Ovis aries: one gene and its partners. The protein of the gene in region 3 interacts with the protein of the main gene of each other region in a biochemical or structural test. Links are inferred from orthologs where the notes say so. Each region holds a gene or a part of one and is shown on either strand. Other genes may lie near its edges.

Evidence for each region.
Region 1: of the proteins of PML (region 3) and SENP1, one has a biochemical effect on the other in vitro, tested with the Homo sapiens proteins (2 studies listed by BioGRID). The link is inferred for Ovis aries from reciprocal best matches to the Homo sapiens genes PML and SENP1.
Region 2: of the proteins of PML (region 3) and HIPK2, one has a biochemical effect on the other in vitro, tested with the Homo sapiens proteins (2 studies listed by BioGRID). The link is inferred for Ovis aries from reciprocal best matches to the Homo sapiens genes PML and HIPK2.
Region 4: the proteins of PML (region 3) and JUN form a complex in vitro, tested with the Homo sapiens proteins (2 studies listed by BioGRID). The link is inferred for Ovis aries from reciprocal best matches to the Homo sapiens genes PML and JUN.
Region 5: the proteins of PML (region 3) and KLHL20 form a complex in vitro, tested with the Homo sapiens proteins (3 studies listed by BioGRID and IntAct, with this or other methods). The link is inferred for Ovis aries from reciprocal best matches to the Homo sapiens genes PML and KLHL20.
Region 6: the proteins of PML (region 3) and MAPK7 form a complex in vitro, tested with the Homo sapiens proteins (2 studies listed by BioGRID and IntAct, with this or other methods). The link is inferred for Ovis aries from reciprocal best matches to the Homo sapiens genes PML and MAPK7.
Region 7: the proteins of PML (region 3) and PIN1 form a complex in vitro, tested with the Homo sapiens proteins (2 studies listed by BioGRID and IntAct). The link is inferred for Ovis aries from reciprocal best matches to the Homo sapiens genes PML and PIN1.

What each region holds. Positions count from the first base shown.
Region 1 is NC_056056.1:138,490,660-138,494,761, reverse strand, and holds the start of SENP1 (sentrin-specific protease 1), read right to left. Parts: upstream 2,801-4,102; 5' UTR 2,206-2,800; coding exon 2,154-2,205; exon of another isoform or gene 2,100-2,153; intron 1-2,099. Other genes in the region: PFKM (ATP-dependent 6-phosphofructokinase, muscle type), read left to right, coding at 4,091-4,102. UniProt on the Homo sapiens protein: Protease that catalyzes two essential functions in the SUMO pathway.
Region 2 is NC_056057.1:104,675,499-104,679,744, reverse strand, and holds the start of HIPK2 (homeodomain-interacting protein kinase 2), read left to right. Parts: upstream 1-1,446; 5' UTR 1,447-1,467; coding exon 1,468-1,486; intron 1,487-4,246. Other genes in the region: putative HTLV-1-related endogenous sequence, read left to right, coding at 779-976, 1,095-1,446.
Region 3 is NC_056071.1:32,252,370-32,255,869, reverse strand, and holds part of PML (protein PML), read left to right. Parts: intron 1-2,084; coding exon 2,085-2,665; intron 2,666-3,500.
Region 4 is NC_056054.1:33,493,864-33,498,010, reverse strand, and holds JUN (transcription factor Jun), read left to right. Parts: upstream 1-1,347; 5' UTR 1,348-2,267; coding exon 2,268-3,275; 3' UTR 3,276-4,041; downstream 4,042-4,147. UniProt on the Homo sapiens protein: Transcription factor that recognizes and binds to the AP-1 consensus motif 5'-TGA[GC]TCA-3'.
Region 5 is NC_056065.1:54,477,008-54,480,507, reverse strand, and holds part of KLHL20 (kelch-like protein 20), read right to left. Parts: intron 1,895-3,500; coding exon 1,321-1,894; intron 1-1,320. UniProt on the Homo sapiens protein: Substrate-specific adapter of a BCR (BTB-CUL3-RBX1) E3 ubiquitin-protein ligase complex involved in interferon response and anterograde Golgi to endosome transport.
Region 6 is NC_056064.1:33,839,276-33,842,596, reverse strand, and holds the end of MAPK7 (mitogen-activated protein kinase 7), read left to right. Parts: intron 1-90; coding exon 91-1,169; intron 1,170-1,250; coding exon 1,251-1,828; intron 1,829-2,088; coding exon 2,089-2,222; intron 2,223-2,367; coding exon 2,368-2,521; 3' UTR 2,522-2,821; downstream 2,822-3,321. UniProt on the Homo sapiens protein: Plays a role in various cellular processes such as proliferation, differentiation and cell survival. The upstream activator of MAPK7 is the MAPK kinase MAP2K5.
Region 7 is NC_056058.1:12,284,522-12,288,683, reverse strand, and holds the start of PIN1 (peptidyl-prolyl cis-trans isomerase NIMA-interacting 1), read right to left. Parts: upstream 2,801-4,162; 5' UTR 2,776-2,800; coding exon 2,718-2,775; intron 427-2,717; coding exon 214-426; intron 1-213. UniProt on the Homo sapiens protein: Peptidyl-prolyl cis/trans isomerase (PPIase) that binds to and isomerizes specific phosphorylated Ser/Thr-Pro (pSer/Thr-Pro) motifs.

The DNA of each region.
Region 1 (4,102 bases), on a different chromosome or scaffold from region 3:
CCTGTTTGGCTTGGGTGGGGAGGGGTGAGGGGACATTTATTTCAGGGTTAGTTTTAAAATATTTTCTCATTTTCTACTGTCCAATCATTTCAGCACTTCCAATGATCTCTAGGACACTCTGCCTCTCTTTTCTTCCTGTCCCCTAGTTGCCCCAGTTCCGAGGGCCCACGGGCCAGGAGTTACCACTAGTCTTTTTTGTTATATTAAAAGTAATGCCAATTTAAAAGCCTGGTGCCCATTGGAACAATCCCATGTTAACCTCCTTTGCACTGCTGAGATAGAGGTGAAAGGGAAGCAAGCAAGAAATCAAAGAACGTTGGCAATTATATCCAGAGAGGTTTAGTGACTTGCCTGAAATCACAAAGATGGGACAAAGGAAAGACAAAAATCTAGGCATCCTCACTTATAAGCAGATGCTCTTTCAACAAACATCACAATATTCACATCCTTCAACATATCCTTATTGAAGGATTCATACACTTGGGCAAGATAAAAGTAATCTCTAGCTAAATTTGGGGAATCCACCCATTTTTTACGCTGCTGCTGCTACTATTTGGTAGCCAAGTCCTGACTCTTTCGACCCTACAGCTTGAAGCCCACCAGGCTCCTCTATCCATGGGATTTCCCAGGCACATCGAGCTTCTTTGGTGTGCTTATGCTATTTTCTTTTTGCCATTGTGCAAGTATAATGGGAGAAAGGATATTTTGCCCCAAGATTCAACATGAAATGTTGGACCTGGAACTTCTGATGTCACCAAATTCTTTCAAGCATGAGAAATTTTTCCTTCTAAGAGTATTCTAGTGCTTCATTTTCTACTTCACATCAGTCATTTAATTTATGAAAAAAACAAGTAATTACAGGTATTCAGTTGAAGTCAGATAAACGGCTGAGCACAAGATAACAAAAAATCTGAAAGAAAAAAAAAATGATGGCAAAGTCCTGACAATAACAGGACGTAATGAGCATAGTAAGACAAACATGCAAAGAGGTGATTATAAAAGTGAACATTTAGAGCTACCATGAAGCTATCTGAAAGTATATACTGAGGAGAGGCACTGTACAATTAGCTTTTTGCAGGACCAAGATGTAGTAAGAATAATTTCTGATAATGACAAGGGTGTGGAAGTGATCATGTGAATCATCCTATTACAAACTCTGGAAAATTATGTATATGAAACAGTCTGCACTCTATCATTATGCAATTTTTGGTTGTCTTTCATATTTCTACAAGGCATCACTCAAATTAGACTCTAACACCTTAAAATCCTTAAAAAAAAGATTCACTTTCTTTCACACACACACACATTTACTGTGCACCAATAACACAGAGTGGACTGGGGATACAATGATGAGGAAGAACTGGTCCCTGCTGCAGAGAATCTGTCAGAGGGAGGAAACCAGATTCATCAACAGATACTTAAAACAAGGTAATAAAGCTGGTGCAACTGGTAGAAGGTGTAGGAGTCAGGTATAGAAAAGGAAAGACTTCCAAAGCAGTAGTCAAGAATTACATCACCTTATCTTGAGGTAGAAGAACCTGTTTTTAATTCATTTGCTGCCTCTAGATCTGTCATCAGATGGGTGACAGGAAGACCATCTTTGCAGTTGGGATAATTAATTGGAATTAAGTAAGAGTGAGTGAGGCTTCTCCACAACAAATGAGGGTTCCAACATGGGACTAAAGGAGAAAAGGGAATCTCTAAACTAGCAGGTTAACGGATCATTCTTAAAGACATGCTTAAAGTTTCACTGTAACTGTAATTCCAAATTCAGTGTAACCTATCTCTCAACAGAAGCCCTTAACACAAATTATCTTTATAAAGATTTAGGAGGTGATACGATCTAAAATCATCCAAAATCACCCACTTGGAAGAAGGACCCTAAGTTAATTAGTTGGGGGCCTCTAAAAGGCATAAATTTCACAAGAATCACCCCCACCCCAAATATAAAAAGCAAACAAACGTGAGGTGAAATGACTTTAACAAGGCTGACGAGAAAGTGATAAAGCAGCGAGTTACTGCCAACAAGATAGTGGAAATACTGCAAAGGCACCGATAAACAGAAATCACCAAGCTCAAGAGAAACTGGGTATATATCCAGAGAGATCACGTTATAGGGGACGGCAAGAAAGAGACGGTTCGAGGGAATTTACCAGGAGGCGATAAGCCAGGTAAGCAAACGGCGGCAGTTAAGGGGATTTTCATAACCTGGGCAGGAGGGTCCAGACGTTTCTTTCTGGTGGTGGCACTAGCGGTATCACATCTCTGGGAGACACCACAGAGTAAAAGAGTTGGAGAAATGTTTACATGAGACGCAGAAGTAGTCGAGAAATATCTTTCAAGCCTCAAGGAAGGCGGGAGGTGAAGCACGCATAACAGAAAAGCTGAGCTTCCCGATGAAAACAGCTTTCCCCTGAGAGACCTGCTCTGGCGGGAAAGCCCCGAAATCCCAACCGGCCTTTTCCTCACGAGTAGGGCTAGGCGCTGAGATGGGGCGGCCGTGACCGTAGGGAGACGGCCTCTCCTCGACCCCGGAGAAAGAGGCCTCAAGGAACGGCCCCGGGAAAGCTAACTAACGGCCACCCGCCAGATCGCGGCCTCGGACAGCAGGGGGGAGAGGTGGTCCCAGGGGGCGGGGCAGAGGAAAAAGCGCACTCCCCACAGCTGTCCCCGCTTCCGTCCAGCCCAGCCCAGGCTGCCGGGCCCAGGCCCGCTCTGCCTCCCGGTCAAGGCTCCCTCCATCCTCACCCCTCCCCCAGCTTCCCGCCGCCACTCACCGAACCGGAACCGGCTGCTATGCGAAGGGGTTTCCGGCCGGGCGCGGAACGCAAAACCCGGGAACCGCCGCGAACCGGAACCGCCTCCACAACACCGGAAGAGCTGTTCCGAGGCTGCGGAGGAGGAGGGGGTGGGGCGAGAGGTCAAAGAGCAGAGTTGAAGACCCGCGGAACGCCTGCGCAGTGTGGCGAGGCCTCAGACGCCAAGGGACTCATCTAAGACTGTAGTCATAATTTCCTCTTTCAGTCTGGGCTTTTTCTCCTTCTCCTTATTAGAATACTGTTAGTGTGCCCATCGTCCTTCGCTTTTCTCTGTTCCCTCTGGCCCCCTTACCCGCCGCCTTCTGGTTCCGCTCGGCGATTTCTGCTCACGTTTTGGTTTCCATGGCAGCTTCTCTCTCTGGCTCTTGAACTGCAGGAACCGGTGGCCACCTTGACAGATGTAGACCTGAGCTAAATCTAGGCCGGGCAAGATTCACGTTTTAGCGAGAATCACAAAACGTTAGTGCTTGTAGAGGTTACTGGCCATCATTTAGTCTACGAGTTTCAGAGAAGTGGAATCATTTCCCAAAGTTATAAAGTACATGGCAGATCTGGGACTAGGAAACAAGTTTCTTAACTTGCAGTCCTGTGCTCTTTGCAGCCTATCATGCATGATTGGCTATTGGGGAAAAGGTGGGCCGGGGGGTGGGGGTTGGGGGACAGCTTGGGATTGGCTTAGGCTAGACTCTGGAAAAGTGGGGAAACTTCCAGAACGATGGACGAGTTTGAAACACTCCTCCAGGAGGTGTGAGGAAAGTTATCTGGAGATCCATCCCAGGATTCTGCTCTCTGAAGAACTAGATGACCATGTTGTTGTTCATGGGAGTGAATTGATTAACCTTTATTCTATATTTTTAAAAGAAAATAATGAGAAGGCATACATTTGTTCATTTAGACTTGTCACCAAGTCCCTCAGCTTGGTGGGCCTCAGGACCCAGGCCCATCTAGAAGTCTTGGAGAAATGCTTCTGAGTAAGCACTCTAGACCCAGATGACAGCCACAGTCAGGTCAGACTTGGTTGAGCTGGAGGCCTCCAGCCTTTAGCTCCTTTCAGCTGCTGGAGAAAATGCTTGCTGAGTTCAGGATATCTTGTCCTGTCAAATGTATGAAAGTAGATAGTATGTATCACTTCATATGCTGACATTTTATACTTAGGACCTAAGGCCTATTAGTATTGAACATACCTGGTCCATGTCATTTTTGTCCATCTTAATTTTTCCACAGATCTGTTGATTTGCATTATATTCTGTCTCTATTTCTAGGAGGCAACCATGCGTAAAGTG
Region 2 (4,246 bases), on a different chromosome or scaffold from region 3:
CATGACCCATAGCAGGAAATACAACTTGTATCCTGGTCCAGTGCAGTTGTCTAGTATATATAACTGAAACAAAGGGTTTATGAAACAATTATTCTAAGGGCAGTGGCATCTAATACTTTCTATTCTAGTACATTTCATTATTTTAAAAAGTTGGTTGCCGTCCACTGAATGTCTGTTATGATCAATTACTGCGTCACGACCCACAGTTTTAAAAACCCTGCCTAAGAGTAAGATCAGGTCTTAAGTTGGGGGCGATGGCAGGCATCCCATCAAAGAACCCAAGACTAGCTGCAGGAGGGGACTGGCAAGCCTCGGGGAGTCTGGAGCGCGTCTGAAGCTCTGTGAGGCAGAGCGTTGAGGAAGGCAGAGGCCTGGGAAACAATCGGTGGCAACCACTCGTCTAGGTGATAGGGGTTGGGGATTAACCCTCCAGACCTCGTAGACCTGAGGATGGGGGCGGAAACCAGATTCCCGCAGGAATCCAGCGAACATCCGAAGGCTGCATTTCATAAGCGTGCGCCGAATGGCTCCCGCATCTCTGACCTCATTTGGGCTTCCAAAGCTCCTCCACTCACTCGAGAGTCCGGGGAGGACCGCGTGCGCCCACTCCTCCATTCATTCATTCATTCCAAACCCATCTCGGGGAGCGCCAACCAGGTGCGAGAAAGGGCGAGCCGTCGGCGGCCGAGGCTTCCCTTCCAGTCGGTTCCCCTCCCGCCCAGCTCGCATGCACACAAAGTTCTGGTGCCACCCCCGCGGACCGGCTCCCCCTTGCCAGTCAGAACCAAAGCGCGTGCACCGCCGCCCGGCGGAGCCGCCTAACCTCCCCGGCTTCCCGGGATCCGCCCCCCACCCACCGCCTCCCCGCACCAGCCCGGCCGCTCCTGCCCTGCGCTCGGCCTTCCCCGCCTCGCATCCGTGCCATCGGCGCTCGATTGCGCGCGGACTCCTGGCTCCGGGCTCGCTCGTCGCTCGCGCTCGGCCGCCGCTCCCGCCCCCGGCCCCCGCCCCCCGCCCCTCCCCCGGCTCCTCCCGCCCCTCCCCCGCCTCCCGTGCAACTTTTGCCGGAGCGCCCCCCTCCCCAACACACACAGCCATGCTGAGCTGAGCCCCGGCCGGGGACTGGCCGCGCGCTGCCCGCCCCGGCTCCCGCCCCACCGCGGACCCGCTCGGGGGCCGCGGCCGCTCGGCCCTCGGCCTCGGCCGCTGCGCCCGCCCGGCCGCCCCCCGGAGCCCCCGGGAGCCCCGCGCAGGGCCCGGGCCGCGGCGGCGGCGGCGGCGGCGGCGCCCGGCCCCCTCCCCCGGCGCCGGCCAAGTGAGGCGGTGATGCGGGCGCTGGCGGCCCCGGCTGCGCCGAGAGCGGAGACACAGGCTCAAGATGGCAGATTCCGACTGAGGCTGGGGGGGCCGAGCTCGCGCGCCGCGATCCCTTCTCCGTTGCCATGAATCGCGGACACCCCGGCCCCGATGGCCCCCGTGTACGAAGGTAAGCGGCGCCCGCCCGCCGACTCCGCCGACCCCCGGCCGCCCGGCCGCCCGGCCCCCGGAGCTTTGTTCTGCCCGCGGCCCCGCGCCGGGCAGCACCTCCCCACCCCCGGCCCGCAGCCCCCCGGCGCCGGGTCCCCGCGCCCCACCCCCGGGGCTCGAACCGGTCGCCCGCCCCCCTCCCCGCCACCCCCTCGGTCGCCCGGCGATCGGCCGGGATCCGGAATCAAACAGATCTTATTTCCAGGATGGAGAAAGAGGCGGGGGGTGGGGTGGGGGGTGTGCGAGGGTGGGCTACTGGCCGAAGAAAAGAAATTGGGTGGGAGGGGGCGCCAGGAAAAAAGACAGACCCGTGACGGTGCTTTTTATTTATTTGTAAGAAATAAAGGTGATGCGGTGTAGCTTTCCATCTCCACCCCCCCCACACCCTAAAGAAAATTACCTTTAGGGTGATCTGTTTCCACTCTCCGTCCTCCCAGCTCCCTTCCCGTTTCCCTCCACTCCCCCCCCCCCCCACCCCCCGCAACACACACACACAAACACACACTCCTTTATTCTTCGCGAGCCTCAGATTTTGGGGGGCTGTCGGATCGGAATGTGCGGGGCTAGGTGATGAGAGGGGGGCAGAGAGGAAAAGTCCATTTCAGAGCCAGGCAGAACAATGAAATAGGCGAAAATCTCCCCGCATTAGCGTGTGTAAGGGAAAATGTAGTTTGGGTTTGCCAGTCGGGGAGGCGGCCAAGACGCTGGTCTCCGCCGGTCTGGGTAAACCTGCGCGGTGCACCTTCACCTGGCGTCGGGTCCTTTTTCTCGTCTGTCTTTAGGAAGAAAGACAAGAACGGAAGGCAGAAATACTCCGTTTCCCCTGCAGTCCCTCTTTCGTTTCTCTTCAGTCAGTTCTGTCAGTTTCCAGCCAGAAATCAAACCGGAATCAACTAAGTTTTTACACTTCGATGTGTGTTTTGTGTGTGTGTGTGTGTGCTTGTAGTAGGAGGGATTTTGAACCAAAGGGTGTTTGATTTTTTTTTTCAGTCATTTTCCTCGTGAAAATGTCTTTCTCATGAAATCATTGAAGTAGCAGCCTTTACATACTTTGAGCGTCAGTCCATCTGGCTTTCTTTCGGTTTTGTTCAGATACCCTGTGGATGAAATAGCAAATGAGAGGAGGCAAGGGTTTGTGCGGAATGAAGAGGAGGGGCGAGGTTTTAATCCTCTATAAATCCGGAGAACAGTCGTGGCCAGTGAGACAGGGAACGCATTAATAGTTTTATCTCTGTTATAAAGGCAGATTAGAAAAAAAAAAACAAAACTTATCTGAAAAGAAAATCTGTTATTAGTTCCAGAGCTCCAAATGAATTAGGTTTCTGGATGGAATAAAGTTACCAGTCAGGCTGGGTAACGAGGCTGTAAATAACCTATGGACTGTAAATATTTTTTTTCAGACTCTCTTAGAAACAAAGGGGCCTGTTTAGAAGGCAACAGAGAGATGTTATTCCAGGGGCTTTCCTCTTTGATTCTGAAGAACACAAGGTCCATTTAACCATTCAACAAAACAAAACAAAATTTCTGATCACTCCACCACACAGAATGGAGCCAGCCCGGTGGCTCTGTGAACATACTAGGAGGACCCAGTCGGGCATTCATTGTTCCTCTGAGTCTCTGGGAGGGGGCTACAGTCAATGCTCCCACTGTCTATGGAGTGTTAAAATGAAACAATTTTCTCTTTATTAAGTACCTCTTTGAGACTCCCTCTGCTGGACACTCCGGGTGAGCATTGGAGAAGGAACTTGGCATTGAATTCAGAACTATAGTAAAACAGGCTGCTTTCCCTTTCTCAAGGGGCTGGGTATGTGGGTTGGGAGGTATTTTGTCAACTTTGTAGAAAGCCGTCCTGGGAACCGTGCTGTTCCCCTCCTGTTCTCCTCATCTAAATCCATACGGAATGTAGGCCATCCCCCTGCGGCTAAGCCTTGGCACTAAGGCTCTTCCTACCCTGCTCTTTTAGCGCATGACACCAGATAAAGACCTGTGGGTGTGGAAGACGTTGTGGTTTAAGCATAATCTCAGATCTCAAAGGTTTCGAGCTCACTTTTTTTATTTGCAAGCCTGCCTTCTGTGTCCCAGCTGACCTATGTGGTCGCTTCTGCCACCCCTGGGCCCCTCAGTCTTGTGTGTGTGCTCTCTTGATCATTCCTGTGCATTGTGCCCTTTGATTCTGGGAGAGTTTCTTCGAATCTTTGTAATTCTTCTCTTCCTCCTCACCCCTTTTGAACCAGTCCAGCATCACTGCCCGAGCTCAGGCCTGGGTCTTTTTTGAAAGCAGCTGTTGGTCATGCTCTAAAGCAGACAGGTGACCCCTCTAATCAGGCATTGCGCTGCGGAACCCACATTTACTTCCTGTGATGAGTGCCTCTAAGACTTCAGTGACCTCCTTTTTCCCTCCTTTGGCAACGCCCCCTGCATTTAGGGAACCTGATTTTTACCACATCCCGGTCGGAGCACATGGACTCCTTGTGTGTATCCCAGAGGAGCAGGGCTTTTCCTGTGGAATTCTCCAAGAGCGATTTCTGATAGTTTTCACCCTTCTAAAAGGTTTGAACCCTGGATTCTTCTCAGGAGAAGGATAATGACAGGTGAGGCATTTAAGCCAGAATTCAGGGGTATATTCATTTATTTAAATAGGGTGCAATTGCCCGAGGCTAGGATTTGATGTAAAGGCCTGAGTGCATTAGTGGAGCATCCTAAACTGCCAGGTATTTAG
Region 3 (3,500 bases):
ATCAGGGAAGCCCTTCTTGCCATGTGAGGGGTCCTATTCAGGTTCCAGGAATTAGTACTTGAATGCACACCATTATTCTGCCTACTACAATTTGCTTCTGGACTCTGTCACTTTCTAATTGTGTGACCTTGAACAAGTTATTGCACCTCATGCTTAGTTTCTCCATCCTTAGAATGGGAACAATGATAATTCCCACTCCATAGGATTGTTATAAGGATTAAGTGAGTTGATATTTGTGAAATGTTTATAAGTATCTTGACACATAGTAAATACTATGGAAGTGTCTGCTGGCTAAAATATATTAAAATATACACTCTCTTAGCAATTCTATTATTTTATCATATATTTCATAGAAACAAAAGGATCTATGCATGAGGCTACATAAAGCATTGTCCATATTGGGGGGAAATGCACAAACAGGAAATCACTGGAATGCCCGTTAACACAGAGTTCTGCAACACCCTGGGCTGCAGACCCATCCTGGTCGGAACCTATTAGGAACTGGCGAGGAGCAAAGGAGGCTTCATCTGCTGCTTCACATCACTCTCATTACTGCCTGAACCACCCCTTGCCACCCCTTCCCCAACCCATCCCCCCTCCCCTGCACACACCCCTCCCACCCACCCCGTGGAAAAGTTGTCTTCCACTAAACTGATCCAATGCGTTATTAATAGAATGGCTGAGTCAGTGTGGTCCATCTGGAATGTAATGGATCTATTAAATACATTAGTCCATCCTAAAGGAGATCAGTCCTGGGTGTTCATTGGTAGGACTGTTATTGAAGCTGAAATTTCAATACTTTGGCCACCTCATGCAAAGAGTTGACTCATTGGAAAAGACTCTGATGCTGGGAGGGATTGGGGGCAGGAGGAGAAGGGGACGACAGAGGATGAGATGGTTGGATGGCATCACCGACTCAATGGACATGGATTTGGGTGGACTCTGGGAGTTGGTGATGGACAGGGAGGCCTGGCATGCTGCAGTTCATCGGGTCGCAAAGAGTCGGACACGACTGAGCGACTGAACTGAACTGAAGATTATGCTTGTAGACCTAGATGAGGAGTGTCCTGAACAAAAGTTAAATTAGAGGAGGAAGTTACAAAATAATCGTTTAGCATGATCTGATTTTTTTTTTAAATAAACATCAACCTGCCCAAAATTATTGTAGGTATGAGTCAGTTATTTAACCTCTGAACATCTTGATTTCTTCTGTCTGTGAAGTGAGGATAATAATCATTCTCTTAAGACACTCTACGGAGGATTAAGTGGGATGAAATGTTTCAAGTCCTTGGGATTCTGCTAGCAGCAGAAGAGTGTGACTATTTATGTGGAGCAGTTTGAAGAGCCAGAGGTGTGAAGGATGCACCCAGGATGCTCTCCTGGTTGCCTCCGAGGCGGAGAAAAGAAATTCAGAAGTGCTGGGTACTTCTGATGATGATTAACTCTGCTTTAAAAAAAAAAAAAATTTATTTAATCGGAGGATAATTACTTTACAATATTGTGATGCTTTTTTGCCATACATGGACGTGAATCAGCCATGGGCATACATGTGCCACCCCATCCTGAAACCCCCTCCCACCTCCCTCCCCACCCTATCCCTTTGGGTTGTCCCAGAGCACTAGCTTTGGGTACCCTGCTTCACGCATCAAACTTGCACTGGTCATCTAGTTTACATATGGGAATGTACACAGTTCAATGCTGTTCTCTCAAATCATCCCACCCTCGCCTTCTCCCATAGAGTCCAAAGGTCTGTTCTTTACATCTGTGCCTCTTTTGCTGCCCTGCATGTAGGATTTTTGTTACTGTCTTTCTAAATTACATGTATGTGTTAATATACAGTATTTCATGGATGGAGGCTAGCTATTACTACTTTAGTAACTTTTTTTATGTTCCAATAAGTTTTATTGGTAGTTTGGATACTATCCCCATAACCAGAAACACTGAACTGAGAAAAGCACAGATGTAGAAACATACCAGCACTCAAAGTTTTTGTAACTGTTTTGAAGAGGCATTTAGTAAAGAATATTTAAAGAGAAAAAGAAAGCAGGAATCCCCTAAATCAGGCCAACCTTCTGTGTCCGCAGCATCTACTGCCGAGGCTGCTCCAAGCCCTTGTGCTGCTCGTGCGCTCTCCTGGATAGGGACCACGGCGAGCTCAAGTGCGACATCAGCATGGAGATCCAGCAGCGGCAGGATGAGCTGGACACCATGACCCAGGACCTGCAGGAGCAGGACCGCAGCTTCGGGGCAGCGCAGGCGCAGATGCGCTCTGCCATCAGCCAGCTGGGCCGTGTACGCGCCGACACTGAGGAGTTCATCCGTGAGCGCGTGCGCGAGGTGGTAGCGCACGTGCTAGAGCAGGAGCGTGAGCTGCTGGAAGGCGTGGGTGCGCGGTACCAGCGCGACTATGAAGAGATAGCGGGCCAGCTGGGCCGGCTGGATGCTGTACTGCAGCGGATCCGTATGGGCAGCGTGCTGGTGCAGAGGATGAAACTATACGCCTCGGATCAGGAGGTGCTGGACATGCATGACTTCCTGCGCAAGGCACTCCACCAGCTGCGCCAAGAGGAGCCCCAGAGTCTGCGAGCCACTGTGCACACAGACAGCTTCAACGAATTCAGGGTGCGCCTGCAGGGCCTCGTCTCTTGCATCACCCAGGGTAGAGGTAAGCCACCATCACCTCATGGCTGGCCTGTTTACCCTGTGAGGGCTTGGGCCTGCTGATGCCCGTGGGGAAAGGCAGGTGGAAAAGATCAGCCCCATGTGACATAAGAGGAAACTGTGGGGTTTTTATTAAGTCTCTTGGGTTTGATCACATTGTAGGTTACAGAGCGCAGGATAAGTCTGGGGGAGCAGAAGCCTGCAGCCACCCAGTAGGGTCACGTCTGACTGATTTATAAGACCCTAAGTATTAGTTGTGATCTTGTGACTCTCAAGGAAGTTGAAAGTGAAAGTCACTCAGTTGTGTCCAACTCTGCTATCCCATGAACTGTAGCCCACCAGGCTCCTCTGTCCGTGGAATTCTCTAGGCAAGAGGGACTGGAATAGGTTGCCAGTTCCTTCTCCAGGGAATCTTGGCGACCCAGGGATTGAACCCCGGTATCCTGCATTGCAGGCAGATTCTTTACCGCTTGAGCCACTGCGGGAAGCCCCTCAAGGGACTTAAGAAACTATAAAGCTGAGAACCATACCCTGTATCATTTTAGCCCCAGAGGGGCGGACCACTACCACCACCACCACTCCTAACCCCCACCCCCATCCCCTGGTGGGGTGCTTACCCAAAACCAGGCTCAGTGGAAGGGATCTTTTGCCCCTCGGATGGCCTGCCATCTGGACTAGCTGCCTATCTGTGTGGGCCCTGCCTGGTATTGGGAACTGGGGAAGTGAGGAGACAGAGGACCAGTTTCTGACCTGGAGTTGTCCAGTCCGACTGGGAGACAAGGTTGGGGCACATCGTGTGGCTGGAGAATGAGACAGTGCTTGGCTCTGTAGCCCAAATC
Region 4 (4,147 bases), on a different chromosome or scaffold from region 3:
AACCCACGACTCCAGACTTCGGTATTCTTTCCACCGTACACTTTCGTCCCTAAGGGGCGCGGGGTTGGGGGAGGAGAAGAATAACCACCACTGAAAAGGAACCACTTACATGGGTCTAGCGCTTCCTAGAGGCTACACAGGATATGGGCCCACCCCCCAGCCGGGAGCGGAGAAATTTTAAATCTTTATTCTACTCACTCGCTGCGTGACTTTTGGCAAGTGTCTGCTGCTCTCGGACTTGTTTTCCCGGAAGCAAATCGGGGCGGGAGGAGTGGCGTGTGCGTGTGTGTGTGTTTGTGTGTACATGTGATGTGCGGTGTGTCTATGCATGTTGTGCGGGGGCGGAGAGTAGACTATCACCGGGGTTCCCCGAGTTTCGGATTCTCCAAACGCTCGTTCAAACTAGACGCCGAGTTGCCCCTTAAATCCACCTCCTGTAAGAAACCTTTCCGAGGCAAAGATGCGAACCCCCGCACCCTTTCTCCCACGGTCGGGAGGGTGAGGTGGGAGTGCGGAGGGGACTTAGCCGAACACCCAGTTTCAAGCAATGCAAATCACTGGACTTCCAGACAGAGCCAGACAGTCGCTACTGAACTTGACCAGGAGACAAACTTCAGGGCATTCTCAACGTGGGGGGCCGACTCTCACGAACTGCCCCCAAATTTAAAAGCCACTTTCACTCGCCCCCACAGGGGACTTAACAGAGCCACCTTAAGGGCGGTGCTCCCGCCCCCCGGAAGTGCGGGGGGGCCAGGAACCCAGGCGCTCAACGGGCCCGGCCCGCCCCGAGCGGCGGCGAAGTGCCCGCGGGTGACATCGAACCCCCAAGTGGGGAAATACCACCCGCCCCGCGCCCTCGGCCCCAGACACCTGGCTCGGTTCCCCTGGCCTCCTGGGTCCTAGCATCCCTGGCATTCCCATCCGAGCCCTAAACTTCAGCCCACTTCCCTCAGAGGCTGGGAGCGCCGGAGTCCGCCCGGCTCGCGGCAGCCACCGTCACTAGACAGTCAAACCCCAAGACGTCAGCCCACAATGCACCGGGCGGGCCGGGAAAGACGCGTCGGGGAGGGAGGGGGAAGAGAGGGGCGCGAGTCGCGCGGAGCGGGTTGGGGGGAGGAGGAGAAAGAAGGGCCCAACTGTAGGAGGGCAACGGAGCATTACCTCATCCCGTGAGCCTCCGCGGGCCCAGAGAAGAATCTTCTAGGGTGGGGTCTCCATGGCGACGGGTGGGCCCGCCCCCCTGAGAGCGACGCGAGCCAATGGGAAGGCCTTGGGGTGACATCATGGGCTATTTTTAGGGGTTGACTGGTAGCAGATAAGTGTTGCGCTCCGGCTGGATAAGGGCTCAGAGTTGCACTGAGTGTGGCTGAAGCTGCGAGGCGGGAGTGGAGGTGCGCGGACGCAGGCAGGCAGACAGGCACAGTCAGTCGAGAAGGACAGCAAATCCTATTTTCCAATTTCTCTCCAACTGCCCGGAGCTAGCGCTTGTGGCTCCCGGCCTGGTGTTTTGGGGAGCGCCGGGAGAGCCCCTTCGCCAGCCGCCCCCAGGCGGAGAGCCCCGCTGCGCGGGCGCTGCTGACAGCGCGGAGAGCGGCCACTGTCCGCCCGGGGAAGTCCGGAGAGCGGCTGCAGCGGCAAGAACTTTCCCGGCCAGGAAGACAGGAGACAAGTGGCCGCCGGGTCCCGGAACGAACTTTTGCAAATCTTGCCTCCGCCCGAAGCTGCCGCGGCGGCGGTGAAGAAAAAGAGGCGGCGGAGAGAGGAGGACGTGCGCTCCGCTTCGCTCGCACCGGTTGCTGAACTTGGGCGAGCGCGAGCCGCGGCTGCCGGGCGCCCCCTCCCCCTCTCAGCGGAGGAGGGGACAGTCTTCCGAGTCGGGGCGGCGGACACCCGCCGCCGGCAGGCAAACGCGGGGTCCGCGCTCCCTGCTATCACCGGGAAGCGAGTTCGTCCGCGGGCTCTGAGGAACCGCTGCGCTCGAGAGAGCTCCGTGAGTGACCGCGACTTTTCAAAGCCGGGCGGCGCGCGCGAGCGGACAAGTAAGAGCGCGGGCGGCGTCTTAACCCTGCGATCCCCCGGACCGAGCTGGTGAGGAGGGCGCCGGGGGCGGGGGCTGCCAGCCGGCGGGGGCGCGCGCTCTTCCAGAAACTTTCCTTGCTCACTGCCCGGGGAGGCGCGGGTGTCCCCCGCTTGCCAGCGCGCTGTTGCGGCCCCGAAACTTCTGCGCGCAGCTTAAACTAAGCCCACGCGAAGTGACGGACTGTTCTATGACTGCAAAGATGGAAACGACCTTCTACGACGATGCCCTCAACGCCTCGTTCCTCCAGTCTGAGAGCGGCGCCTACGGCTACAGTAACCCCAAGATTCTGAAGCAGAGCATGACCCTGAATCTGGCCGACCCGGTGGGCAGCCTGAAGCCGCACCTCCGGGCCAAGAACTCCGACCTCCTCACCTCGCCCGACGTTGGGCTGCTCAAGCTGGCGTCGCCCGAGCTGGAGCGCCTGATCATACAGTCCAGCAACGGGCATATCACCACCACGCCGACCCCCACCCAGTTCCTGTGCCCCAAGAACGTGACGGACGAGCAGGAGGGATTCGCCGAGGGCTTCGTGCGCGCCCTGGCCGAACTGCACAGCCAGAACACGCTGCCCAGCGTCACGTCGGCGGCGCAGCCGGTCAGCGGGGCGGGCCTGGTGGCCCCGGCGGTGGCCTCGGTGGCGGGCGGCAGCGGCAGCGGCGGCTTCAGCGCCAGCCTGCACAGCGAGCCGCCGGTCTACGCCAACCTCAGCAACTTCAACCCCGGCGCGCTGAGCAGCGGCGGCGGGGCGCCCTCCTACGGCGCGGCTGGCCTGGCCTTTCCCGCGCAGCCCCAGCAGCAGCAGCAGCAACCACCGCAGCCGCCGCACCACCTGCCCCAGCAGATACCCGTGCAGCACCCGCGGCTGCAGGCCCTGAAGGAAGAGCCGCAGACGGTGCCCGAGATGCCCGGGGAAACGCCGCCCCTGTCCCCCATCGACATGGAGTCCCAGGAGCGGATCAAGGCGGAGAGGAAGCGCATGAGGAACCGCATCGCTGCTTCCAAGTGCCGGAAAAGGAAGCTGGAGAGGATCGCGCGGCTGGAGGAAAAAGTGAAAACCTTGAAAGCGCAGAACTCGGAGCTGGCGTCCACCGCCAATATGCTCAGGGAACAGGTGGCCCAGCTTAAACAAAAAGTCATGAACCACGTTAACAGCGGGTGCCAACTCATGCTAACGCAGCAGTTGCAAACGTTTTGAGGCGAGACTGTCGGGGGCTGAGGGGCAACGGAGAAAAAATATAAATAACACAGAGAGACAGATTTGAGAACTTGACAAGTTGCGAGAGAGAAACAGAGAAAAAAACAAAAGTGTCCGAGGACTAAAGCCAAGGGTATCCAAGTTGGACTGGGTTGCGTCCTGACGGCGCCCCCAGTGTGCACGAGTGGGAAGGACTTGGCGCGCCCTCCCTTGGCGAGGAGCCAGGGAACGGCCGCTCGCGGGCTGCCCGGGTTTGCGGACGGGCTGTCCCCGCGCAAACAGAACGTTAGACTTTTCTTTAACGTTGACCAAGAACTGCATGGACCTAACATTCGATCTCATTCAGTATTAAAGGGGTGGGGTGGGGGAGGGGGTTGCAAACTGCAATAGAGACTGTAGATCGCTTCTGTAGTACTCCTTAAGAACACAAAGGGGGTGGGGGAGGGGAGGCGGGAGGGAGGTTTGTGAGAGCGAGGCCCAGCCTGCAGATGAGCTCTTTCTGGCCTGCCTTCCATAACTGTGTATGTACATATATATATTTTTTAATTTGATGAAAGCTGATTACTGTCAATAAACAGCTTCATGCCTTTGTAAGTTATTCATGTTTGTTTGTTTGGGTGTCCTGCCCAGCCTTGTTTGTAAATAAGAGATTTGGAGCACTCTGAGTTTACCATTTGTAATAAAGTATATAATTTTTTTTATGTTTTGTTTCTGAAAATTCCAGAAAGGATATTTAAGAAAATACAATAAAATATTGAAAAAGTTACCCCTCCCCCAACCTCTTTTCTGCATTATCTATAGATTACTTGTCTAGGTGGAGTTGAAAGAGTTGAGTGTCAATTAAAATCACTGTGGGTGCTTCTTACTAGCAG
Region 5 (3,500 bases), on a different chromosome or scaffold from region 3:
GCTAAGAGTCTGACAGGACTGAGTGACTTCACTTTCATTTTTCACTTTGGTGCATCGGAGAAGGAGATGGCAACCCACTCCAGTGTTCTTGCCTGGAGAATCCCAGGGACAAGGGAGCCTGGTGGGCTGCCGTCTATGGGGTCACACAGAGTTGGACACGACCGAAGTGACTTAGCAGCAGCAGCAGCAATTAGCTATTTCACCCTTGTTAACAGGGTGTGTAACCAAACTTCTGGATATTTGTAATCTGGTAGATAAAAAATAGTACTTTGGTGTAGTTTTAATTCATGTTTCTGTTATTGTGAACAAACCTGAGCAGATTTTCATGTTTAAGGGCAATCTGAACTTCTTGTTTACTACCCATTTTTAGGTCACTGGCCTAGGTTATTGACCAATAAGGAGCTCTTGATATAGTAAGGAGATATCATCTGTAATATGAGTTGCAAATGTTTTCCCTTAGTTTGTCTTTAATTTTTTCTCTCATTATTGTTTTACCATGCAAAATTTTAAAATATTTATATAGTCAAATCTATCAATATTTTCTTCTATGCTTTCTGGGTTAGTCAATTAGAAAGACCTCTTCAAAAGGAATTGTTTTGTGTCATCTTCTACTATTTTCATGGTTTCAGTTTGTATTTTTTAAATTTTGGATCCATTCACCGGACGTTATCCTGTTGGACAGAAAAGTGATACTAAAGAATAAAATGGACATGCCATTCCTTTGCTTAAAATCCTTTAATGGTTTTCTACTGGTCTTAAGATCAAATTTCAAATTCTTAACATGGTCTATTAACTCCAATGTGATCTGGCCCTGTTTCTTCTGTAAAATCATTATGTAACATTCTTTATTGCTCTCTGGATCTCATTGGGTTTCTTTTAGTTCCTCAAACTTGTTATGCTTTTTCATGTCTCAGAATCTTGGATGAACTGTTCCAGAACCAAAGTTAAATCTCTCTGTAATACATTGTTAAATTATCCAGGGCTTCTTTGTAGCACTCATTAACTCTAATTAATTATTTATGTAATTATGAATTCAGTAGCTGTCTTCTGTGCCAGATTATAAGTCTCCACTAGAACAAACACTCAAGGCATCTTGTTCACTACTGTAGCTTCTGTTCCCAAGCACAGAGGTGGAAGTATAGCAGCTTCACAGATATTTATTAAATGAATGAATAAATGAAAAATAATAGGTTTAATAAATTCTTTGATAACATCTAATTTCATTTTTCTGATTATTAGCTTAACAAATAACCTGATATACTATATCGTTCTCCTAACAAATACATTGTGGATGCATTCAAACCACCAAGTACAACTTACCTCTTGAAAATTATGTTGAGTGAACTTGTCTGCTATCCTTAGCAACTCACGACATGAATGTGTGTCAGCAAAAGCCCGAATGCCCAGGCAGTTTGAAGGATCTAATTGTCTCTTCAAGAATTCACAACAGGCTTCTTGTATTTCTGCCAGCTGGAGGAGGCAAGCAGCTGGCAAGAGGGTCTGAACATTGCCCTCTTCCACAGTTATCTGGGAGGTATATGCAAAGTCTATCAGTAGTTCCATAGCCCTCTCATCTATGTCTCGGATCACTACTTCCGTCTGACGGCTCTCTGCCAATTCTCCTGTAAACATAGCTCGGAAGTAGGGACTACAGGCTGACAAAATGACTCGATGGGCATATATCTTCTTAGCGCCCACAACTAGCACCACATCGCATAGCTCCCGGTGTTTTCTCAGAAGGTTAATCACTTCCAAGGTTTGTCGAGGGTGCTTGTCTGAGATATAGGGCATGCGGGCAGGTTGGGGAACCCCTTCTGGCAATTTGTTGGGGTCTCCAAGGGTGCAGCGGCTTGTTACATCCATTCCAGTCTCTCCTGGCCGAATGTTGGTACACCTACAGGAATGGGGGTAGGAGGGAGAAAAGAAGATGACAATATTTTTAGAAGCTCATTCCAGCATTTCATTTGTATTTCATATGTAGAGATTCAGGTGTTAATTTACTAAGTAAATGCCACAAACAAATTATTGACAAATAATTAGAACTAAAATATTTGGATTTTCATAACCATCACACTGTATCAACACGGAGGAAAAGAGAGAATCTGTGCCCCTCAGTGAAGACGGTAACTATGTTTTTGACAAATATTTACTATTTTTTATAGTTTACAAAGCATTTAGCTATGGACTAAGGAAAATTCAAAGGAATATAAAGAGGCAGTCAGGAAACCTAATTATCTAGAACAAGGAGATATACATGAATAGCCAGAAAGAGGGTAACCAGGATAAACAATATGATTCAGAAAGGCAAAATCTATGAAATATTTGTTTATCCTGGAACATATACCTGATTGGCATATGCTCTCAGTTATTACAAGGGTATGTATTTGTGTTGTGTGTGTGTGTGAAGTGGAAATATTACATTGGGTTTTTTAATAGTTTAGGTGAAATATGTAAGCACACATCACTATACTTCTGTTTCTGATTCTATACTTGCTAGGCAGTCTTCTGATGTACAATTCTTTCAAAGGTATCATGTTATTAAAAAGGGAGGTAGGTGACTTCAGTGTCCTGATCACTGGGTTTTAGGTCAGCCTAAAGTTAGTCTCAGAAACTAATCATCTATGACTGTACTGAGATAGTTTAATATCTGGTCCACAAGGGACAGTATTAGTTTACTACCTCTAAAACTATAGCACCAACAAGACATACAATATAATAAAACACTAGTGTGTTGAGAGAATCCCCTGGAAAGGAGAGGAGACTCTAAAAGAACATTTTAGGAAGAAGAAACTACATTCAGTTCTTCGCCATCTGTTTTTCCAAAGCACTTATAAATTTAATCTATGCTTGGCCAGAGCCTACAGGTAAATGTATTCTACAGTACAAACTATTCATAATACCTGACATCTGGTAGAAACAGCACCATTTATGCCTGACAATTTAAAACTGAAACTGAAAGCTGGGCAGTTAAAAAACAATTTTTACCACCCACATAAACAACCAAAAGAGCCTTTAGCCACAGTACTTTATTGGTGTCGTTTGTAGTAGATGCTGAAAGAATAAATCACGAGGTTAACAGTGGTGTACTCCAGCTTTAAAAAAGAACCACCATTAAAGACAAGACCAATTTAAAAATTCCCATTATAACGCTGACATTCTATGTTGAAATTAAAGAGTTTTGTTGCAATCTTAATCATGTACACAAAGATGGTACTGTTGAACTCAGGTATAAACAATTTTTTATTTCACGCAAGTACAACATGGAAGCTAATTTCTACATATCTACTTAAGTTCTGTTTTCTATGCTCTCTATACACATTCTTGAGAAGTACATTTAATCTCATATTTTCCATCGCCTGTATATAAATGACTAAAGGATTCTTAACTCCCACCTGGGTAAGTTCTGAATTCAGATCCATATGGATGTCCCCAAATCACTCAAACTCAATATATCTCAAATACTAAAACTGATTCCTTGACTACTTTCACCCAAGTACAAG
Region 6 (3,321 bases), on a different chromosome or scaffold from region 3:
GTAAGACCTTGACCTGTCTGGAGCTGGGAGGGCGTGACAGTGGGGTTGGAGTTTGGGCAAGACAGCCTGCGTCTCTCCCCTGCCTCTCAGCTACGTGGTCCTGGACCTGATGGAGAGCGACCTGCACCAGATCATCCATTCCTCACAGCCGCTGACACTGGAGCATGTGCGCTACTTCCTGTACCAGCTGCTGCGGGGCCTCAAGTACATGCACTCGGCTCAGGTCATCCACCGCGACCTCAAGCCCTCCAATCTGCTGGTGAACGAGAACTGCGAGCTCAAGATTGGGGACTTTGGCATGGCCCGTGGCCTGTGCACCTCGCCCGCTGAGCACCAGTACTTCATGACTGAGTATGTGGCCACTCGCTGGTACCGCGCCCCCGAGCTCATGCTCTCGCTGCATGAGTACACGCAGGCCATTGACCTGTGGTCCGTGGGCTGCATCTTTGGGGAGATGCTGGCCCGGCGCCAACTCTTCCCAGGCAAAAACTATGTGCACCAGCTGCAGCTGATCATGACGGTGCTGGGTACCCCGTCGCCGGCCGTGATTCAGGCTGTGGGAGCTGAGAGGGTGCGGGCCTATATCCAGAGCCTGCCACCACGCCAGCCTGTGCCCTGGGAGACGGTGTACCCGGGTGCTGACCGCCAGGCGCTCTCCCTACTGGGGCGCATGCTACGTTTCGAGCCCAGCGCCCGTGTCTCCGCAGCTGCTGCCCTCCGCCACCCCTTCCTGGCCAAGTACCATGACCCTGACGACGAGCCTGACTGTGCCCCGCCCTTTGACTTTGCCTTTGACCGCGAAGCCCTCACGCGGGAGCGCATTAAGGAGGCCATCGTGGCGGAGATCGAGGACTTCCACGCACGGCGCGAGGGCATTCGCCAGCAGATCCGCTTCCAGCCTTCCCTGCAGCCTGTGGCCAGCGAGCCCAGCTGCCCCGACGTGGAAATGCCCAGCCCCTGGGCTCCGAGTGGGGACTGCGCCATGGAGTCCCCTCCACCAGCCCCACTGCCGTGCCCTGGCCCTGCGCCCGACACCATCGATCTGACCCTGCAACCGCCCCCACCAGCCAGTGAACCAGCCCCTCCAAAGAAGGAGGGGGCCATCTCAGACAACACCAAGGCTGCCCTCAAGGCTGCCTTGCTCAAGTCCTTGCGGAGCCGGCTCCGAGGTGCCTGGCTGGGGAATGGGGGGCAGAGGGGGAACCCCTGCCTGGACTGACTCTTACCTTACCTTCCCATCCTCCTCACAGATGGCCCCAGTGCCCCCCTGGAAGCTCCTGAGCCTCGGAAGCCGGTGACTGCTCAGGAGCGCCAGCGGGAGCGGGAGGAGAAACGCCGACGGCGGCAGGAGCGGGCCAAGGAGCGGGAGAAGAGGCGGCAGGAGCGCGAGCGCAAGGAGCGGGGCGCGGGGGTCTCGGGGGGCCCCTCCGCTGACCCCCTGGCTGGGCTGGTGCTCAGTGAAAACGACCGCAGCCTGCTGGAGCGTTGGACTCGCATGGCCCAGCCCCCTGCCCCCGCGCCCACAGCCCGGCCCCCCAGCCCTCCCGCTGGCCCTGCCACCCAGCCCACTGGGCCCCTGCCACAGCCGGCCTGCCCACCCCCTGCACCTGCAGCTGGCCCTGCTGCTCCCCAGACCACTGCCACCTCCAGCCTTCTGGCCCCCCAGCCACTGGTGCCGCCCCCTGGGCTGCCCGGCCCCAGTGCCCTGAGTGTTCTCCCTTACTTCCCCTCTGGCCCACCCCCTCCAGACCCCGGGGGGGCCCCACAGCCCTCCACATCGGAGTCACCTGACGTCACCCTGGTGACCCAGCAGCTGTCCAAGTCGCAGGTGAGAGAGAGGCCTGGTCGTGGGGATGCCTGGGTCTGACGCGGGGGAGGTGGGCTCTGAGGTTGTTGAGGCCAGAGCCTAATGCTGACGAGCAGATTGTTGGAGACCCCAGCCCACGCTCAGGGTTTTTTGAGGCTGGCGCTGTCACCGCTGCTGTCCAGGCCCGGGCATGGGTGGGGCTGTATCATGGCCGGGCACCCTGCCAACCTCAGTCTGCTCTTGGTGGTGCCTGTGTTGTGAGCTGCCGTCATCCCCTGCAGGTGGAGGACCCTTTGCCCCCCGTGTTCTCGGGCACCCCCAAGGGCAGTGGAGCTGGCTATGGTGTTGGCTTTGACCTGGAGGAATTCCTAAACCAGTCTTTTGACATGGGTGTGGCTGATGGGCCACAAGACGGGTAAGAGCTGGGTCTGACGTTTTGAGTTGGGCTGTGGGTCCAATGGGGCTCTGGGTCCGGTGGGGCTCTGGGTTTGGTAGGGCTGTCGGTTGGGGCTCCCTCTGCAGGAGGAGCCTCTCACCCTGTCTCCCCGCCGCACCCACAGCCAAGCAGACTCAGCCTCGCTCTCAGCCTCCCTGCTCGCTGACTGGCTCGAGGGCCACGGCATGAACCCTGCCGACATCGAGTCCCTGCAGCGTGAGATCCAGATGGATTCCCCCATGCTGCTGGCCGACCTGCCTGACCTCCAGGAGCCCTGAGTCCCGCAGTCCGTGCCTTGCTGCCAGGGGCAGACCCAGCTCCGAGATCTGCAGGACTGTCCTGCTGGAGCCCTGCGCCCGGTCGGGGAATCAGCTCAGATCATTCTGCAGCTTCATCTCAGACCCACCCTGTGGCCTTAAGCAGCCACCTGAGCCAGCACAAGCCACACCAAGAGGGGGAGCCCCTCCCCCAAGCGATTCTTTTCAGTATCATAATTTTATTATTATTATTATTACATTATTATGATGACAGTTTTTTTGCCCTCGGAAGGTTGCCTGTGAAATACAAGGTCTCCTCTAGTGCCTGTCTCCAGGGTGTGTTTTCGGAGTCGAGGACAGTGTGCCGTCATGGGGGCAGGCAAAGGTATCTGCGTGCACAACAGTAAGGCCGGTTCGTTCAGGTCCTGAGGTTTATTGAGACCTCCACTCCCACCTGCTCCCAGCCCCACAGAGGTGGTCCTCTGACCCTCGCACAGTCACACTCACCCCCGGGGCGGGTGGGGGGACCTCACATCTGCGCCCGCCTTGGCTGTGGCGTTTTAGGGTGGCCTGTGGGAGCTGTGGCGAAATACAGTTTGGGTGTTGCGCTTCAGGTGCCTGGGTCAGGCAGGCAGGGGGCCGCTGAGCATGAGTGCAGTGGGGCCGGGCCGTGGTGCTCACGCCAGGGGAACACGGGGGTGGGAGGAGGGTGAAGGGCCAGCCAGTGGGACTGCTGGGGTAGCCTGGCAGATGCCAGGAGAGGTCTACAGGCTCGGCCGGCAGAGGCCGCGGTCAGGAATCTGGCTAAAGTGGGACACAGC
Region 7 (4,162 bases), on a different chromosome or scaffold from region 3:
CCACTCTCACACACCAGCTGGGGAGGAAAATGAGAGGCAGCCATGGAAGCCAGGCTCATGCCACCAACAGGCACTTATAGGTCGGCCAAGGCCACAGCTGACAGCTAAGCTGGCTGGGGTGGAGCATCTCATGTGATTTCTGTAAAGCTTGCACTGCCCTTGGGGAGAGGGACTGCCCCCTTCCCCCAGGCCTGGTCTCCAACCCCAGCTCACCATTGATCAGCTCCAGGGCCTCCTCCTTGGTTCGGGTGATCTTCTCCTGCCGCCAGGACGAGGGTCGCCGTGACTGGCTGTGCTTGACCAGCAGGTGTGAGCAGCGGACCCTGGTGGGCTCCCCTTGTCCATTTTTGCCGCTGCCACTGCTGTTGCCACTTGGCCGCTCCCACTGGCTGGCATTAGTGATGTGATTGAAGTAGTACACCCGGCCTAGAAGGGGGGGTGGGGTACAGAATTCAGCTGGGACCTGCTCAGTGCATACCACCATCAAGCCATGATATGGAACTGGCCAACAAGATGCCTTCATTCAGCCAGCCCACTGCTGTCCACCAGTGTCACCAGGACTTAGGGAGCTAACCCTCTAGGTGGGAGGCAGACAGACAATAAACAAGCAAGTACGACCACATAATAACTTTGGTCATTAACAACTTCAAGGGGGGAAAATAATCCAAGATGAGGAAGAGAGGTTCAAAGCATGCACTCAGCAGCCAGACTCCCTGTTCAAATCTGCCACTCACTCCCTGTATGACTCCCTTCTCCGGGCCTCAGTTTTCTCACTTGTAAAATGGAAATAACAACAGTACTTGCCTGAATGGTTTTTGGAAGGACTGTATGAGTTCACATCTGTAACGAGTTTAGGACAGCACTTGACATATATTAACACATTATCGACTGGGGGATTTTTGCAAAAACTAACGCCTGTGGCTGGCGATTATAAATGAATGTTGAGACACTCCAGTCAGTAACATTTGGGTAACAAAAAACATACTAATACATCTCTGGTCAAACCGTGGGCTTCCCAGGTGGCACAGAGGTAAAGAATCTGCCTGCTAATGCAGGAAGCAAAAAAATCTTGGGTTTGATGATACTCTGGAAGAGGAAATGGCAACTCACTCCAGTATTCTTGCCTGGGAAATCCCATGGACAGAGGAGCCTGGTGGGATAGTCCATGGGGTCACAAAGAGTAGGACACGACTTGAGCATGCACATGTTACTGTGAGGCATCTGGTCAGCTACTAGTGCCTCCAAAACAAAGCAATGGGTGTTTATTCTGCTGCATAAACTGTACCCATGTGTGTCACACACAAAAGCTTTGTCCTTTTCCCCTACCCAGTTACAGAACTGGGGTCCAGCATTACTGGGGTCAGATGTTATCCAGACTAAAGAGCATGGAGTGAGGGCTGCCAACAAGAAGCTTGAAGTAGGACCCAGTAGAGATAGGGTGTCATTCCTGGAGCAGAGTCTGCCCGGGGTTACACGGAGGACTTGTCCAAACACCGTGAAGGGCTGGATGTCACCCTCAGGGAACACTGTCAGGATTGAACTGGGTTGAAATGGCTGGAGTGGGAGCCCCAAATTTGGCAGAGCATTGGCTTTACATTGTAGGTCACATCCATGGGTCAAGGCTGCAGGGTGGGGTGGGGGTTGGTGAGAGCTGAGCCACTGACTGCCTCAAAAACACTGGCAATGGGTTCCATCTCCCTGAACCTCAGTTTTCTCATTTGAAAAGTGGGGATGAGAGAATAAGGACATCAAACCTCCAGAGGGTTAATGTGGAGAGTGGATGGTGCTGTATGCAAAGTGCTCCTGATGTTCAAAAAATCAAATTATTACTGCGACAATGACTGCTAGGCTCTATGGAGAAAGAAGTGTGAAATACTGGAACCTGCATCTTGGTAGTTTGCAGCAAGAAGGGTAGGGGGCTCTGGAGTCAGAATGACTGGGTCCGAACCCAACCCCCACCCCCTGAAATCAATGACCTTGGGCGGGTTCCTTGCGTTTTCTGGCCTCAAGTTTCCCGATCTGCAAAACGGGGGTAACAATTACCTCTCTCCCAAAATTATGACCATTTAGAGAAAGCAAACACCCAAAATGCTTGGAACTATGCTTGGTCCTGAGATAAACGTTCCCTATTCTTGACATTATTATTGGGGAAAAGTCTTAAGTCGGGTTCCGGAGCACAAGGGCAGTTCTCAGGCAGAATACCACCGGCCGGATATCGCAAACTCAGAATATGGTGTGGATGGTAGCGAGCGTATTAGCAGAAGGAGGTTGTATATCCGAGGCCGAACAACACCCTATAGGGCCCCGCCCTGAGCATGATGTTGGGGTGTCCTCCCCAAGGGGTCCCCACCCTGGGACCAGCGGGTTGCACAGACGTTCCCTCAGGACTTCTGGTGCATTAGGCCGAACGAAAATGTCAGTCAGATCGGCAGGGCCAGGGCCATCGCCTGAGGGAGTGCCGCGGGATCACCATCCCCCTGCCACCCCGGGAGCACCCTGGAACTCCCCGGCCACGCCCCTTGCCTCAGTTTCCTCGGGATTCCCCTCTCCTCAGGCTCGCAGCCCCAACAGGGTGGGCCGGGGCCGTTACCCGGGGACGACGCGGAGGAGCCAGGACCCCACGGGAACCGAGCGGCGCTGCCGCGCTCGAGGGACAAGCTCGAGCCCTGCTTCTGCGGGCCCTCGCGGCCCCGTCCCAGCCCCGACCCCCGCGGCACCTGAGCTGCGGCTCATACGCTTCTCCCAGCCGGGCGGCAGCTTCTCCTCGTCCGCCATCTTCCCTCCTGCCGCAGAGGCCGCTCCGCCTCCGCCGCACCGCCTCTGCCGCCCGCGTCCGCCCATCGCTGCTGCCGATTGGCTGAGCCCGCCCCGCACGGGGTCTTGGCGACAGCACTCATTGGGCACCCTAACTGTCCGGACTGACTCTCTGGCTTCCTATTGAGCAAAGGCGGGGGTGGGCGGAGCCTCCCACCATTAATCTGGGCCCCGCCCCGGTCGGCCTCACCCAGGTCCCGCCCTCTTCCTTTCCTCGGCCGCTAAATGGTGGGAAAGGGACGCGAACTCGCCTTATCAACGCCCTCTGCTGAGCTTCCAAAAGTTCCGACCCCTCCTTTGCGTCCTTCGCCACAGAGCCCATCCGATTGGCTACTACTGTAGCAATTCCCGCCTTCCTAAACCATAGCCCGCGGGCTGAAGCCTCCCAGGCGGAAGTGTCTGGCCTGTGTGGAGGTAACCGCAGCGAAGGAAGTTCTTGAAAAAGGCGGTGCTGCCTTTGCTGTTGCCATAGCAACGCAGTTACCTTGGTGATGAACAGCTAAGAATCCAGAAGCCTATATTTGGCTCCTCCGTTCTCCCTCGTCCCACTTGTTTGCCCAAGATGTCCAAAGCTAGCCCACCTCCTTTTAATTTTTTGTGCAAAACTCCCTATTTTACTGACCCAAACACCTTCCATTTCCTTTGAAATCTACTTTACTTTACTAATTCCCTCCCAGTTTGGCTTCTGCCTCTGTCCTGGGTGACTCGTGGGTGTTGGCATTGCCATTCGGATGAGGACACGGTGGCTTTGTGGGTGGAAATCAGTGGGTGGAAGCGCGGGTGGGAGGATAATAGCTCAGTTTGAATCAAGTTGCTTTTAAAATTTATTTTTTATTGAAATATCAGTTGAATAAGTCAATTTAAAATGAAGGCTGTGGCACTAAACGGACATTGAAGAGGTGGTTGGAGACCTAGGGCTGTAGATTTACGTGGGAATCGGGACACCAACAGGGAAGAGTTCAACTAAAGTTCATCTATAGGAGGAGGAGAGTGAAAAAGCTAGTTTAAAATGCAACATTAAAAAAACTAAGATCATGGCATCTGGCCCCATCACTTCATGGCAAATAGATAAGGGGAAAGTGGAAACGGTGACAGATTTTATTTTCCAGGGCTCCAAAATCACTGTGGATGGTGAGTGCAGTGATGAAATTAAGACACTTGCTCCTTGAAAGGAAAGCTATGACAAACCTAGACAGGGTATTAAAAAGCAGAGACATCACTAAGCCGACAAAGGTCTGTATAGTCAAAGCTACAGTTTCTCCAGTAGTCATGTATGGACGTTGAGAGTTGGACAATAAGGAAGGCTGAGCGCCAAAGAACTGATGCTTTTGAATTGTGGTTCTGGGGA